Linked DNA regions of Arabidopsis thaliana. The protein of the gene in region 3 purifies or fractionates together with the protein of the main gene of each other region. This does not show direct contact. Each region holds a gene or a part of one and is shown on either strand. Other genes may lie near its edges.

What was found.
Region 1: the proteins of AP19 (region 3) and AT1G10730 fractionate together in Arabidopsis thaliana (co-fractionation; one large-scale study listed by BioGRID). This does not show direct contact.
Region 2: the proteins of AP19 (region 3) and HAP13 fractionate together in Arabidopsis thaliana (co-fractionation; one large-scale study listed by BioGRID). This does not show direct contact.

What each region holds. Positions count from the first base shown.
Region 1 is NC_003070.9:3,563,398-3,568,648, reverse strand, and holds AT1G10730 (Clathrin adaptor complexes medium subunit family protein), read right to left. Parts: upstream 3,393-5,251; 5' UTR 3,187-3,392; coding exon 3,058-3,186; intron 2,918-3,057; coding exon 2,771-2,917; intron 2,665-2,770; coding exon 2,602-2,664; intron 2,492-2,601; coding exon 2,315-2,491; intron 2,241-2,314; coding exon 2,137-2,240; intron 2,045-2,136; coding exon 1,937-2,044; intron 1,813-1,936; coding exon 1,716-1,812; intron 1,622-1,715; coding exon 1,524-1,621; intron 1,424-1,523; coding exon 1,282-1,423; intron 1,207-1,281; coding exon 1,084-1,206; intron 969-1,083; coding exon 870-968; 3' UTR 543-869; downstream 1-542. Other genes in the region: AT1G10740 (alpha/beta-Hydrolases superfamily protein), read left to right, coding at 1-33, 102-306; AT1G10720 (BSD domain-containing protein), read right to left, coding at 4,203-4,688, 4,782-4,969, 5,070-5,251. UniProt on the Arabidopsis thaliana protein: Subunit of clathrin-associated adaptor protein complex 1 that plays a role in protein sorting at the trans-Golgi network and early endosomes (TGN/EE).
Region 2 is NC_003070.9:22,368,375-22,374,269, reverse strand, and holds HAP13 (Clathrin adaptor complexes medium subunit family protein), read left to right. Parts: upstream 1-2,046; 5' UTR 2,047-2,384; coding exon 2,385-2,513; intron 2,514-2,877; coding exon 2,878-3,024; intron 3,025-3,123; coding exon 3,124-3,186; intron 3,187-3,329; coding exon 3,330-3,506; intron 3,507-3,589; coding exon 3,590-3,693; intron 3,694-3,796; coding exon 3,797-3,904; intron 3,905-4,043; coding exon 4,044-4,140; intron 4,141-4,225; coding exon 4,226-4,323; intron 4,324-4,435; coding exon 4,436-4,577; intron 4,578-4,678; coding exon 4,679-4,801; intron 4,802-4,882; coding exon 4,883-4,981; 3' UTR 4,982-5,317; downstream 5,318-5,895. Other genes in the region: AT1G60770 (Tetratricopeptide repeat (TPR)-like superfamily protein), read left to right, coding at 5,622-5,849. UniProt on the Arabidopsis thaliana protein: Subunit of clathrin-associated adaptor protein complex 1 that plays a role in protein sorting at the trans-Golgi network and early endosomes (TGN/EE).
Region 3 is NC_003071.7:7,551,479-7,555,800, reverse strand, and holds AP19 (associated protein 19), read right to left. Parts: upstream 2,810-4,322; 5' UTR 2,680-2,809; coding exon 2,677-2,679; intron 1,847-2,676; coding exon 1,760-1,846; intron 1,671-1,759; coding exon 1,579-1,670; intron 1,494-1,578; coding exon 1,385-1,493; intron 1,286-1,384; coding exon 1,250-1,285; intron 1,162-1,249; coding exon 1,075-1,161; intron 986-1,074; coding exon 914-985; 3' UTR 638-913; downstream 1-637. Other genes in the region: HMG2 (3-hydroxy-3-methylglutaryl-CoA reductase 2), read right to left, coding at 3,820-4,071, 4,192-4,322. UniProt on the Arabidopsis thaliana protein: Subunit of clathrin-associated adaptor protein complex 1 that plays a role in protein sorting at the trans-Golgi network and early endosomes (TGN/EE).

The DNA.
Region 1 (5,251 bases), on a different chromosome or scaffold from region 3:
TTCGGAATGTCAAACATTACAACCCGGGATCTGGTAAGTGAATCATATATGACCTAATGACGTTGATGGATTGAGAAAATCTGAATACCTTGTTGTTGCAGGTATTATAAGATAGTGGAAGCAGATCACATAATGTTCATAGTGAACAGAGAGAGAGCTGGTGTTCAGTTTGATCTGATATACGACAGCATCTTCCAACGTTGCAGGAAACATGTTTTTAGAAAGATTCCTCAGACTCTCCCCAATCAATCTCCTTCTTCTCCTCGTTCATCATCATCACCCAGAATAAACAACTTTGTACATTGATCACATGCAAAAAAAAAATGTTTTAGGGTTGTTACGTTGAGGGCTTAAGTTTTTGTTTAGGCTATTTACTACTAATACAGATTATTCATTGTTCTTCTTGTTCTCCTCTCGATTTGTTGTACTGTAAAATATATATCTTCCATTTTGAAAATTATAATATTTGTTAGTTCGTCATGTTGCTCTACTGCCTCATCAAAGTTATTTATATAGTGAACTCTTACAAAATTAGCGGACGTTTAAGGAAAACCATTATTGGTGTAGTCACCCAGACTGCATGCATTTTCCATCGGTAAACGAACTGAAAGAACCCCAAATAAAACTCGATGTTTAACAATTGTAACCCAATATATATATAACTGTCGTATATAGTTTTACAGAAAAAAAAAAAAAAAAAAGAGAACGCCATGAAACAATTCACAAGAAAATGGCTTCTAAAACAACCTTCACCGCAAATTCTATCAGCTAATATATTTCAATCTTTTTCCTTTTCTCATTGATCTTCCTCTGCTTTGTGTCGTTGACAATGGCTTAAATAATAGTAAAAACAAAAAAACGATCTCATTTTACATGAGTCTCAGTTCGTACTCACCAGCCATGGTTATATATCTCACCCATGGATGTGCCTGGTACCCACTCTTCTCAATGATCTTCAGGTATCGAACCTGCAATACCCATAATTAACACACATCAGGTTTGTTTGCCTTCAGATTTCAATGCAGTAATATAAAAAGAATGTGATCTATATGATAATAACGTATCATTGTGAGTAATACCAACCTGTATTCCTGAAACTATGAATTTTGGGATCTCAAATTTGACACGGATTGGAGCTTTTCGCTCAGGCGTTGCTTCCTCTGCGGCTATACTTGGAAGATGGAAATCTGCTTTCAATGTATGCTCCTACATTGTTTCAAAACTTAATGTAAGCATTCGACTTTACATGGTCAAGTGTTACATTAAACTATAAGAACTTACCTTGTTCCCATAGAAATATTGTATCTTCCAGACCAGTGCATCTTTCTCAGGAGCATATGCGGCCGACCCGAGAGATGTTCTTACATCGGGGTTATACGCATCAGTTGGTACAGGTAACTCAATCTCAACACTTGTTGCATAGCTGCAGAAAAAAGGAACTCTTATCAAAACGCGTTAAAGGATTCCAGTATTTCAGTATTTCAGGTAATGGTTAAACGTGTTAAGTAACATTTGTTACTTACCTTCTGTCCTTGAATTGGCTTCTAGCTTTTACTAGCATCTCAACACGACTTCTGGAATGCCTCTCTATATGCGCTTCCACCCATATAAGAGGCTTTACCTGAACAAGTATTATGCGAAAATAAGATATATCATGATATAATTCGTTTAAGAAGGGGACAAAACCATTTCTGCAATATTACACATTCTAAAACCTGAGTACTGAGTCTATACGTCATAAGATCAAAAGATCCATCAGGTGGTATGAATGATATTGTCCTGTCGTTCTCAAAACGGGCTAATCGAACACACCTACATTTTGAAGAAAGAGACGTGTAAAAACTCAAGTATTCAATAATTTTTCGAGTTAGTAAAAAAATTGGCCTCGATAGAGTGACTGTCAAAGAATGTTTAAAGTTGCAAGAGATTAACGTACTGATGAAATTTGATGTCCTCCAAATCAATGGCTTTTCCTTTTATTGCTCGTCCCTGTGCCTCCAACAATATTCTGTCATTCAAGCCTAGCTTACACTCTGGCATTCCACTGTAATAACATGGATAAAGAAGCAGAGAGTCAAAGAGGAGGGACTTTTGATTTTAAATGCGTTGGTTAACTAGGGACACTAGAGAACGCACCTCAAGTATGTTCGCATCTTCAAAGCTCCAACGACATCAGACCTGACAATTTGCCCATTACTGTTCACAAGGATATTTACACTCTCTATCACATCCAAGAAAACCTGGAAAACAAAACATCAGTCTGCAAACATTAGAAAACCTAAAACAATTGAAAAGTAAAATGTTGAGCACCTACTTCGTTTTTCTTAAACTTTAACCCCTCACTCCTCCATGAGACAGAATTAGTGACAGCCATTGGAGGTCTCTGTGTAACTTCCATTCTATATGCATCAGTCTTGATGAATTCACTAAGGATTCTTGCCTCAGTAAACTGAGGGTAACCAAAGTCCATCATCTCGTCAAGTAACTCATACTGCCAGTAACATAAGTAAATGTTTTTAGAAATAACTTTCGCCCACACATATCCACCTCATGCAAGAGGGAAAACAGTTATAAGAAGAGATGTGAGAAGCATTATCTTACCACTACCACAAAGTTATCTCTCAAAGATTCTTCCTCTAACTCCTCGAAGTAATGCTTGAAGACCTACGATCAGTATAAGACTGTAACATATGAAACAGTGCCGTTCTTTTTTCTTCAAATTCAGAAAACAGATGGAAATGCAAAAAACTGAATCACTAGGGATGCTTACATCGACTACACGATGCAAGAAGAAGAGAAGACTGGCAGCATTACAGTTCTGTCTGGACGCTATCATGAGGTAAATGTTACTATGCTGTACAAACATGTAGGTCACGCCATTATCATAAGCAACCGGATCATTTGACTGTGAATCACCCTGAACATATTAGACGAAAGTAAGCAAACCCGCAGAGAAAACACTAGTCATTTAGTCATAAGTATAACGATTCTGATCAAATTGAATCCTTTTAAGCACTGATCAAGCTTGTTCATTAGTTCCAAATGTTAAAACTTCACCTCTGTCTCGATGAGTTTGGTGAAGAAACGCTCAGCTTGAGCAGCGGTGACATCGCCACGGTAATCGCGCCACACGAGAACACGACCTTTGATATCGAGCAGAAACAGCGCTGAGGCCGCCCCTGCCATGTTCTTCTTCTTCTTCCCTCCTTGTTTTCTCAAGGATTTGCCGAATCAGATCGATCAAACAGACGGATTATTAATTCCAGAGAGATCTGAAGAATTTTACGCTTCGCCGGAGCTAAACGATCATTTGCTGCAGCTGAGTGGTGGTTCGTCGATAAAGTCACTTATTCACGACCTGACGAATTGGTTCTGACATAAAAAACGACGGGAGACTCGAGAAAGAAAGAAAAGTGCAGCTTATTAAATTGGGTTCAGCTTTGCATTATTCTGCGAAACGACATCGTATTACCAATCTTACTTGGTTTTTCTTTCTTTCTCTGTATTAGGGAAGCAATCTTACTTACGAAGATTTTAGATTAATTTTTATAAATCTTAAACTAATAATACCAAATTAAAAAAAAAAAATGAAAATTTGAATTGAATAACATCAGATTCTATATAATATTTTTAAATCACTAAAACTCTATATAAATCACAAACCAATAACACCCCTTAATTATTAACAAAGTACTAGCATTTTGACAAATGTTATACATTTCAACATAGATTTGTTTTTTAGTTAAGTCATAGGAGTTATTTTGTTAATTGATGATAGCTCCTCCTGGTTGTTCCCATTTTCATACATACAAATCCTCAACATAAGCAATAAAATCCCATATGATTTTCCAATCCAATAATGATTCTAACAGTTTGTTACACTTGAATTCACTTGCGCCATTCTCTATCAATTTCTTTTAAGTTCCACGCGAATGAAATAGTGCTTTTCAATATTTCATTACATTTGGCGAGAGAGAACATTACAATGAAATTGCAGTGTCAAAGTAAATCTTCTGTACATGTTTCAATCAAAACCTTTTTCTTTCTTTCTTCCTTCTCTTTGAGAGCAAACATCATAAATCCACAAAACAATCAAACTCACCCAAAAGACTTCCACGATTTGACTCAGCACACAGTACTTATGTTCAATTCTATTGATTCGATCTCGTGAGGCAGGGCAAAGCAACAAGCCAGATGATGTTTCATGTTCCTTTTTGGTCTGTGCCCTTTGATGTAATCTTAGACTTGAGTGCTAAGCTACTTATATCGTCGTCTCCTTCAAGATCACTGAAAGAAACATCATCCTCATTCACTGTAAACATTGGAGCCCAAGAATTAGCAGAATCTTCTTCTTCTGGCCAATCATCATCATCATCATCAACAACATCTTTAGATGTTTGGCTAAGGCTTGCACTATTTTTGTCGTTCTTCTGGATTGGTTTTTCCTCAATAACAGCTTTATCGATGAACTGAGCGTTTTCAAACCCGTGTTCAAAATCGCGATACATAATCGAAGGAGGTTCAAAAGCATATATTCTTGGAGAAAGAAACTCAGGAGGAGCATGGTTGTAGTAATTAGAAGTTGATGGTGTAATATCTTCTTCCTCAAGAATCATATCTCTACTTTCTTTTGAAGAATGTGTCTGATTCTGAAGCTCTTTCATCCACAATGCTCTAGCTTCCATCACCTGCAAAAGCAAAAGGATTTTGTTGAATAAACAACAGCAACAACAAAGAATCATTTTGACTCAAGAAGAGATTGAGATTCAGGTTTTTTTAACCTGTGGAGAAGACAAAAGATGAGCATCGTGTTTATTGAGCCTTGAAAGAAGAAGAACAAAATAGACTTTCCAGAAGTAACCAACACTCATATGACATGGACAAAGCTCTATTCTCAATGCAGCTAACCTCGGAGCAAGACGCTCAATAGCTAAAGCATGACCTCTTTGAGCATCACTCATTTCCAAATCTACATTAGATAAAAGTTGAAATAATCAAACTTTTGATATGCCTATAAGTCAAATCAATGAAGACTAATAGCGAAAGACTTGACTCAATGTATACGTTACCATCAAGATCTTCGTCAGGATCAAGAGGAAAATCCAACCAAGTTTCTGGATGCATTGCTATGTTCCTCGCAAATGCTAGCACTTCGTCTGTAAGAGCAACCGCAGCGATCTCTTCTTCTTCTTCTTCTTCTTCATCTGTTTCCTCTTCTTCTTCTTCCTCATCCTCCGGATCATTGCCTTCT
Region 2 (5,895 bases), on a different chromosome or scaffold from region 3:
AGAAACTAGAAACAAATTTTACTAAAATTAATTGAGGGAAAACTCAAGAATGTGTGTGTGATCATTGAAGAAATGAAGAATGTGTGTTAGAGTGAGTGAATATTCAAAAGACTCAAATAGGTTTTTAATGAACAATAGGGAACCCGAGGAAACGCGTGACTCTAAGATATATGAATTTATTTTGCACTTATTACTTTTGATTAATTTTTATATTCTAACCCTTTTTTATATACTATTTTTTTCAGTGCAAGTAATGAATGAAGTAACGAGATGAGAGTCTAGTTTCAAAGTTTTGAATCTTTTTGGTCAATGTCGTCTCTATTTGTTGACCATATTATACGTTTGACTTTAACCCCATTTTTCTTTAATCTCATTCTTCTTCTTTGCTTCAATGGTTGACGAATTCTTACCGTAGAAGTTGCATCTAAATATACCAAAGATTAATACTGCGAAAATATGATAAAGAAGATTTTTTTTTTTTGTACTCTCTAGAAATTTGTAAACGATATTATTAGTGTTTGATTAAAGACTCCAATTTTTAACATAATGTCTATATCCACATAATGAATTTGTGTCTCTACTATATGTAGTGTTCCCGTCATATATGCATTTTTGCGATAGTCAATCGGATCTTTGTATTGCGGTTAATTGATCTGGTCTTTCTTGAGCGTACAAAATAAATAGAATTGTACGTATTATTAGAGATGGTTACATTTGGTTTACATTATTAGTTAAAGTTAACCAATAATGTAAACCAATAAAGTTAACCAATAATGTAAACCAAATGTAACTATCTCTAATACGTATGTTGACTATGATGTACTTCAAGACAAGTTCATCATCACTTAACGTAACTAACACTATATTAGTTAAGTTCAAGACTTATTGCCCATGATTCATTTGTAAACTATGAAGTAACATATCTCTGATTTTTTCCTCTTATGTTTGATAAATTAGTCATTATAATTAGTGTCTTGCCAAAAAGTACACTTCTATCTTATTAGCATTCTACATTACAAACTATTAATTTCACTACGTATAGCGGTATAGGGAGAAGATCAATAAGGCGATCACAATATTAGTTAAGTTCCGAGTCTTGCATTACCATTGTCCTATGAATCACAGAACAAGAGGACGCATATATATATAGTATTTATAAAAGACTAAGATAGTCACAGAACAAGAGGACGCATATATAATTGACAAATACTCAAAACATGTGAAAAGATAAGGGCTATTACGTCTTCATTAAGATCCCATAATCTTTATGATGAGAACTTAAGAGCCAAACTAGCTATGTAACAAAATATCAAGTTTGAAAGTAATAAACTGCTTGAATAAGCTTCAAGTTCACTACATGGTTTAGAAAGGTTTAAAATCTATTACTTTCAAACGCTTTTATTGTGTACCAATCAATCCAACAAAGTATGCAATCGTACTAATCAATCCAACAAAGTATACACTCACACCGGTAACATCAAAAATTCAAAAATTCAAAATTTCATGTTACCAATCAATCCAACAAAATATACAATCCCTGAGACCGAGTTATAATTTGTTGGAATGATTGGTACCAGTGAAATTGTGTTGTCGTGTGAACATCAACACATAGGAGGTAATATACGTAAATATGCTAGCAATCAAGCTAAGTATACAAAACACTTCATGTTGCAGTGTTCTATTGAAATTTTATATATCGAACTAGAATACTATCATGGAGAATGATCAAATGTTGCATATCTTCATATCCACGAAAAATGAGTACACAAACATTCGATCATACCCCATGACAGTTTTCTAGTTTATACTTGATAGTCCTCACGATTTCATGGTGGTGACACTACACAAACCCTAGATTCCCCTAAAGTTTTTGTGAAAAACGCATATGTTCGATTTTAGGTTTTACTTCTATCCTTGATTCATTACAAACCTATTTTTATACTAATTCGTCGTTAACCTAATAATTTTAACCTACGAAACCCAACCTATATGGGCCTGACTTTATGTAATGATCCAATGGGCCTTTCTTCTTCAATGATGACTTTCTTCATTGACTCTCCTTCTACTTTCGATGGTATTAAATTTGACGGAAAAAGTAAAACGATACCGTCTGGGTGAAAGGCAGAGCTCTTTGCTTCTGAATATTATTATTTTCTTAAATTCTTCCGTTTTTTTTTTTAATCCAACCACAAGGATCGATAACGAAATCATCAGATCGCCAGAAAAAAAAAAAAAATTGCGAAATGGAGAATCTGAGCTGCAGATCTGCGTCAATCTCCATCTAGATGTTGTTGCTACTTCTTCCTCTATAGAACCATAATTTCATCAGATCTCGCTGATTAATCATCCCCATTTGGATCTGATCGAAACTCTTAGGGAAGAACATGGCAGGAGCTGCCTCCGCGCTGTTTCTGCTTGATATCAAGGGACGCGTTCTCGTCTGGCGTGATTATCGTGGCGATGTCTCCGCTGCTCAAGCCGAGCGATTCTTCACTAAGCTCATCGAGAAAGAGGTTGTTCTGATCTTCCTCTTATCGCTAATTGGTCTTTGTTTATTGCTTGGTTACTGTAGAATTTTCAGAGAAACATAGAGTTAGCGAACGAACTTGTAGATTTGTGTTTGAAAGATTCGTCAATTGGAATTGAAACATTTCGAAGATAATGGATTCGTGTCCATTTTCATCTGCACTGGAAATGAATTTTGAAGATAATGGATTCGTATCAGTCTTTGTGATCTGATGCCGCTGAAATTTTTTGGAAGTAATGAACAAGTTTGATCATTGGTTAAATGTTTTGGATTAGAATTTGATTTGAATCTGTACTTTTGAAGCATTCTGGTTTAAATCAGAGTAATCATCGTTTTGTTTAATTGTTCAGGGTGATTCACAGTCAAATGATCCAGTTGCTTACGATAATGGGGTGACTTATATGTTTGTACAACATAGTAATGTATACTTGATGATAGCATCCAGGCAGAATTGTAATGCTGCCAGTCTTCTCTTCTTTCTTCACCGCGTTGTCGATGTAAGTATGGCTGGTCAATTCTTTAGTTTTTCTCTTAAGGTTCCATCTTTTTCCTGGATATTTGATGTAATGGCAATGGTATCTGTTATCTGGTTATAGGTTTTCAAGCATTACTTCGAGGAGTTAGAAGAGGAATCATTGAGGGATAACTTTGTGGTAGTGGTATGTTAAGCTTCTGTCATCGCTCTTTTAGTACTATTTCGCAATATATTTTTCTATTACTTGGGCAATCAAAAAGATCCTTAAAATTTTGGAAAAGTATTTGTCATTGTTAGATGCTGAAATTGATTTTTTGGTGCTGGCAGTATGAGCTACTTGACGAGATGATGGACTTTGGTTACCCTCAGTATACCGAAGCAAGAATTCTCAGTGAATTCATCAAGACTGATGCATATAGAATGGAAGTTACACAGAGACCTCCAATGGCTGTGACGAATGCTGTCTCCTGGAGGAGTGAGGGAATACAGTACAAGAAGAATGAAGTGAGTGCCATTGTTTTCGCAAGATAGGAATATGTTTCTGATGTTTCGGTTTGCAAATAATGACAACCTGCTTCTTTTTCCAGGTTTTCTTGGATGTTATTGAGAATGTAAATATTCTTGTCAACAGTAATGGGCAAATTGTCAGGTCTGATGTTGTTGGAGCGCTGAAGATGCGAACTTACTTGACGTATGTCAACACATCAAATTTACGATATAGTTCCTAATCAGCCAAAGCATGTTAAATCACGTCCCTTTTTGACTATTTTGCTCTTTGATCCATTCTATTGCAGTGGAATGCCAGAGTGTAAGTTAGGACTGAATGATAGAGTATTGCTGGAAGCGCAGGGACGAGCAACTAAGGGAAAAGCCATTGATTTGGAGGACATCAAATTTCATCAGTACGTCTTTAAGTTTTTATTATATTGAAACTTGGAAAGTCTTCACTGATCTTAACCCTTCTATTTTCTTTTTGTTCAAAAAGATTATATACTTGAGTTTTATGTATTCTCTTCTTCAACAACCATTTATTTAATGCAGGTGTGTTCGATTGGCCCGTTTTGAAAACGATAGGACGATATCTTTCATACCACCTGATGGGGCTTTTGATCTGATGACATATAGACTCAGCACTCAGGTTTGACATGTGGGATATAGCATCTACTGGAATTGTTCCACGTCTTCAACAAGTAAATATCATGATTTGTTTCTTTTATGTTCAGGTAAAGCCACTTATATGGGTGGAAGCACAAATAGAAAGTCATTCAAGAAGTCGTGTTGAGATGCTCATAAAAGCTAGAAGTCAGTTCAAGGAACGAAGGTAAATATATTCTATGGTATTTGTGCCACTTTCCTTTTCTGTCTTACTGTCATGCAAAGATCCTGATTGATCAGATTCTTTAAACCTTTGATCACGAACATTCTTTTTGTAGCACCGCAACGAACGTTGAGATTGAGTTGCCTGTACCAACCGATGCATCTAACCCCACCGTTAGGACATCTCTAGGGTCTGCCTCTTATGCTCCTGAAAAAGATGCGTTAGTCTGGAAAATCAAATCTTTCCCGGGGAACAAGGTATAACACTAACAAGGTTCAATAAACTCTTAAATTCAGTTGAAACAGTCAGCAATGTAGACTATGTAGTATCAATGCTAACCTTCAGAAAACCAATATAGGAGTACATGTTAAGGGCAGAGTTCCATCTTCCAAGTATCACTGCAGAGGAAGCAACTCCTGAGCGAAAGGCTCCTATCCGTGTCAAATTTGAGATCCCTTATTTCACTGTTTCAGGGATTCAGGTAAGCTTGTGCTTAATAATAAATGGTTACTGTCTCTTCCACAATGTCATATATATAATATATATGTTCTTTGGTGTGTAGGTTCGGTACCTAAAGATTATTGAGAAGAGTGGGTACCAAGCACTTCCATGGGTGAGATACATAACCATGGCTGGTGAGTACGAACTAAGACTCGTGTAATGCACATTTAGTTTCATCGTCTATGTCAATTGTGATTCCCACATCCCTCAAGGAATTGCCTGAATCAAAGAAGCAAAACGAAACAGGACAAAAGTAGAGGGAAAAGAAAACGTTTTGAAACATTTTAGCTGATCAAATTTTCCTTTAATTTGTTTTAGAAGCCATATTCTTGTGAATTTGTCTTTATGGTGATTCTATTTTATTTTACATGAGGCTCTCTGTAACCTTTCACGACATGGTTCATTATTTTCCTTTAGACTGCTACATTTCTGTCTATGTGTTCGTTCTGCGATCAAAATTGTTAAACGTTGAGGTTTTGGTTTTGTTTTTTGGGGCATTCGTCTATGTTTACATAGGTTTCTCTCGAGTTATGATCAAAATGAAACTACATAAACAAATTATGCTTCAATAGAGTGAGGTGAGAGAGCCTTACAATAGAGAGAACGTATATTTTGGTGTTTCTCATATTGTTTAACTGATATAGTATGGGCCGAAATGAAATAATCGTCAGGCCCATTAAAAAGCCCATAATCACCATACTTTCTCCTCCAATTCTGTTTCGAGCTTGGGAAGTGACAGTGAATTAGGGTTTTACTCAAAAAACCTTCTCGTTGTCGTTGTTTACTGCTCCGACGAGAAAATGGCGATGCGACATTTGAGCCGATCGAGAGACGTTACAAAGAGATCGACAAAGAAGTACATCGAAGAACCTCTGTACAATCGCCTCTTCAAAGATGGTGGTACAGAGGTCAAAGTTCGACAGCAGCTTAATCAGTTCCTCAAAGGCACTAAACACGTCTTCAAATGGGAGGTCGGCGATACGATCAAGAAACTCCGAAATCGCGGCCTCTATTACCCAGCTCTCAAGGTTTCATAAATCCAAATTGCATTTTCGATTCTCTAGGATTAGCTTC
Region 3 (4,322 bases):
AGGAAGATCTCTCAGATTGGAATTGAAACGTGATCAGAAAAAATCCAAAAGTATGGTGAAGACGATCGATACCTATCGAAGCTTGAGGAGCTGAAGAACCAAAAATTATGAAAACCCCCAAATGAAAATGTTTTTGTGGCAAAGAAAACGGATATTCTTTCCCTCATTTTTAATTTCAATAATTAAAAAAAATTATATATGGAAAGATGAATTATTATCATTACTATAAATTATTGGATTGGTAAGAACAAGACGCAGTCACGTTTAAGTTTGGGTATACAAGTTTCGAGTCCTTGAGCCCAAGCCCATAAGTGTCTGTTTCTTCTCCACTATTTTTGGTGTTACCATCAAACATTCTTCATGTATTTGAAATCCTATAGATTATTTTGGTGAAACAAGTACTAAGGAGCAAACAGGGCAAAGTGAGAAAAGGGACATTGGCGTTGCTTTTGTGAGGAGAAAGGATAACTCTTCGAGCGGATACCTCCTCTCATGGCGGATCACGGTTACACAAAATGAGGTTAGGTCGCCCGAATTACAAAATTAGGCACGTTGAAGAAGAAAGAACGAGACACTGGCATGTTGTTTGGTGCATCAGTCCTCAGGCTCAAAAACCAATTCTATTCAATCAATCGGACAAATTATAATTTCGAGATGATGAACTTGATGAAATTTCAGCATTCCACGTTTTAAAACGTAACATATGTGAAAAAATAGTATACCATTTATGATTTCGCAGATCAATCACTACTTTTAAACCCAAAACGATGAATGCTTCTTTCTTCTAATCAATCAAACAATCACATGACATGACAAACAAAAGTGTGATTCAGAAGAGAATATCTCAGAGTTTAAGGAAAATATTAACTCATTTACGATTGTTTCAGCTGCATAAGAAAAGTTCAGAAAAGGACTACTTGGTAGCCTGAGCAATTATATTACTTATGGAACTCGCCTCCTCTTTCGCAACTTCCACCAATTGATCCTTCAAATATTATAACACAACATCATTTACACAACCCTTACGGACTAATCGTTTTTGTCTCAGTGGGCATTAGGATTAAGAAACCATACCTGGGCTGATATTATCCTTGCAACTGTTTTCTTGCTTGACTCTTGAAGTTCTCCGGCGATCAACAGCTCATCGAGTATATAATACGCCTAGAACAAAACAACCAGATTCGAAAATTGTCATATTGAAGTAAAATACAGAGAGTAGAGAATCATTGATAGAGTTGAGTATGTATACCTTGTGGAAGTTAAAAATCAAATCGAGTTCACACACCTGAAGATCATAGAATAAACAGCTCTTAATCAAAATCTAGATGTTTTGTAAGGTTATGATAGAGTGGTAGGAGTATATTTTGGATAAGCGTTTACTCACACTGCCAAAGTAGCGGTCAAGAATCTCGACGTAGTGATGAATTATCTCCAGTACCTCTAACTCGTTATCCGCCTCATCAATGCACATGCAGAAGTACAAGCTTGCATATCTGCAAAATTACAAAACCATCATGTTTATAACCATTGTTTTTAAAGTAGCAAATACATGCTACTTATATAAAATATGTCTATTACCTTTTGTAGACAACCTTGTATCCTCTCCATTCAATAAAATTGCAGAGCTTGGGACCTCGGTTCAGAATCACTCCACTGAGTTCACGTATGACCTGTCCAGATCATTTTTCCAAATGTAAGATTAAATAGGCATGCAAAGCATAATGCGGCATTAACTCAATAACACTTAAGCTGTACATACCTTAGATCTTTCCTTCTGCGTATACGGCGAATACCACTTGGTGAGCCTTACTTTCCCTTGTCGACTGACTAGTAACACGAAATGTATCTGAAAATACAAACATAACCCAAAACAGCCACCTTAGAAGTTTTTTTTTTTCTTTTCAAGAAAGCATTATTCTATCATTGTGAATGGCAATACATAACACATTAATTAGTTTTTGACGTCTCCTCACCCATATCAAGCATGAGAAAATTCTAGAATCACAAAGACAGCATCGAGATAAAGAGAATTAAAACAAGACCAGACAAAACCAGTAGTATATATCACGATTTCTGGCAACTCATAAAGATTTGAAATGCACATAATTGCATAAGGCAAGCAAAAGAGGGAATTGTGAGAGATCAAGTACCAGAACTTGAGAATCATTTACCATCATACACCTAAACGCAAGCCACAAGCATCTCAAGAAAAGTTTTTAAACCATTTAAAGATATGGAAAGATGGAGAGATCAACGAGCTTATTTTGCCAATTCAGAAACAGAGGCAAATAAAGAGATGTGAGGTACATGAACTAGCTTAGACCCTATTACATTTGAATCCAAGAAGCTTAATTACTTCAAGAGCAATAGTGGTTCAAAAACAATGAATTGGATTTAATAACTCACAAGAGATTCGAATGGGCAACAGAAACATAACAATTTCAAGCTTCACGAAACAAACTAATCCTTTCACTTCCTAAATAATCGATCAATTCGTAAGCGAGAAAAGAACCGGACAGATCCAAGCAGAAATCTACGGATACCGGAGGATTAGATTCAATTTCATCATCAAATCAAATCGTAGATACTCGATGCAATAGTACAAGATCGAAGGCAGATCCAAAATTCGAACAGATAACAGAGAAGCCCAAAAGCAAAGGGAGTGGCGATTGTTACCATTTTTAGCCGATTGAAGGAAAATCTTTAACAGTGAAGCTCGATTCCCAGAAGAGATCTCCAGAAGCTGATGATCGTGGAAAGTATTCTTCTGTGTCCGATACACATATAAGTTTGTTGGATACGGATCTTGTCCCGGGTCGGAGTTTTTTTTTTTTGAGGGACCCGGGTCGGACTCTTTAAAAATTTACTTTTTATTTATTTTTCTTCAGTTGGTTTTGTATTTACTGGGGTAGTGTTTTAAATCTGGACCGTTAAACAAACAAGATGAGGACTGATCTGACGGTCCGACTTAATCGGATTGCATTTTTACAGATTAAAAATTGCAACAAAATCACAACTTTTTATTAAAAGGTTTAGGCAATTTTTCAAAATGAGATATTATTGTTGTAAAAGTTAGAACAAAGGAGGAAACAAAATATCAACAATTGATGTGCAACCTGAAAATATTGAGAGTAAATTATAACTTGTATGAGCCTCAGCGTCACTATGCATGCATAATAATTTACATTTTTACGTCTATATAAATGATCAAATTTGTCGTAACATAAAATTCATTACTTCAATTGTAAGAGAAGTAATCAGAAATCAATAATAATAAAACTCTTACTCTCTTTGGTTTAAAATCAATAATGATTGTTGGTTTAGCTCTCTGCACAGTCTCTACTGCTTACTTTCTAAGATATCATCAAAGACCCATACACACACATGCCATGAGGAGAGACTTCATTGCCTCAAATGCTTCATTTGTCAAACTACCATATCACTCCTCCATCGTCTGCAATATTCACAACTACATTTCTACATTTATTAGTAGTACCTAACTCTGTCACGTACATAATCATCACAAAGCAAACACTGCCACAATAATCTATTCAATGTTAGAAAAAAAAATCATGGCTTTAAAGCTTAAACCGCAATTTAATTACACATTTTGATGCTAAGCTATGATATTAATATAAGCCATAAAGATGGAAGGACAAAAGACTTTACATAAATTAAGAAAATTTGGAGACTTAGTACAAAATAGATAGAAAAGAAAAGAGATCGATGAAGAAGAAATCAAATGAAGTTAGAATTACATCAAATCTAATTATGGGTTTTTGTTGTTTTATTATTATCCGTCTCATCGTGCTCCAAACATCACCTGTTGACTTGAGACGAAGGGCCAATGTCTCTGCTGGATCTGTTGTATTTCATGTGACTCTTCACAAGCTGTCCAGCTGCAATAGCAGACATTAGTGAAAGCTCTCCTGCAAGAACCGAACCAGCCACTATTCTTGCCAATTGCTGTGCGTTCGAGCCAGGTTTCTCGTTGTTTGATCCTTTCACACCGAGTAGATTCAAACAAGCTGCTTGTGATGCAAGTTGTGTCCCACCTCCAACAGTACCAACCTGGAGTCACATCAATAAACAAAACATTCATGAGTTGGATCCAACAATAATTCAAAAAACTAACGGCTTTGTGTTCTCTGCAATAATGGGTTTAATTTCAAGATAGAACATGCATTATACCTCAATGCAAGGCATTGAAACAGAGATGTGAAGGTCGTCACCATCGGGAAGAATCATGGTCATACAGTGTGAGCTCTCCACGTTTTGAGCTGGGTCTTGGCCAGTGGCGATGAACACAGCGCTGACAATAT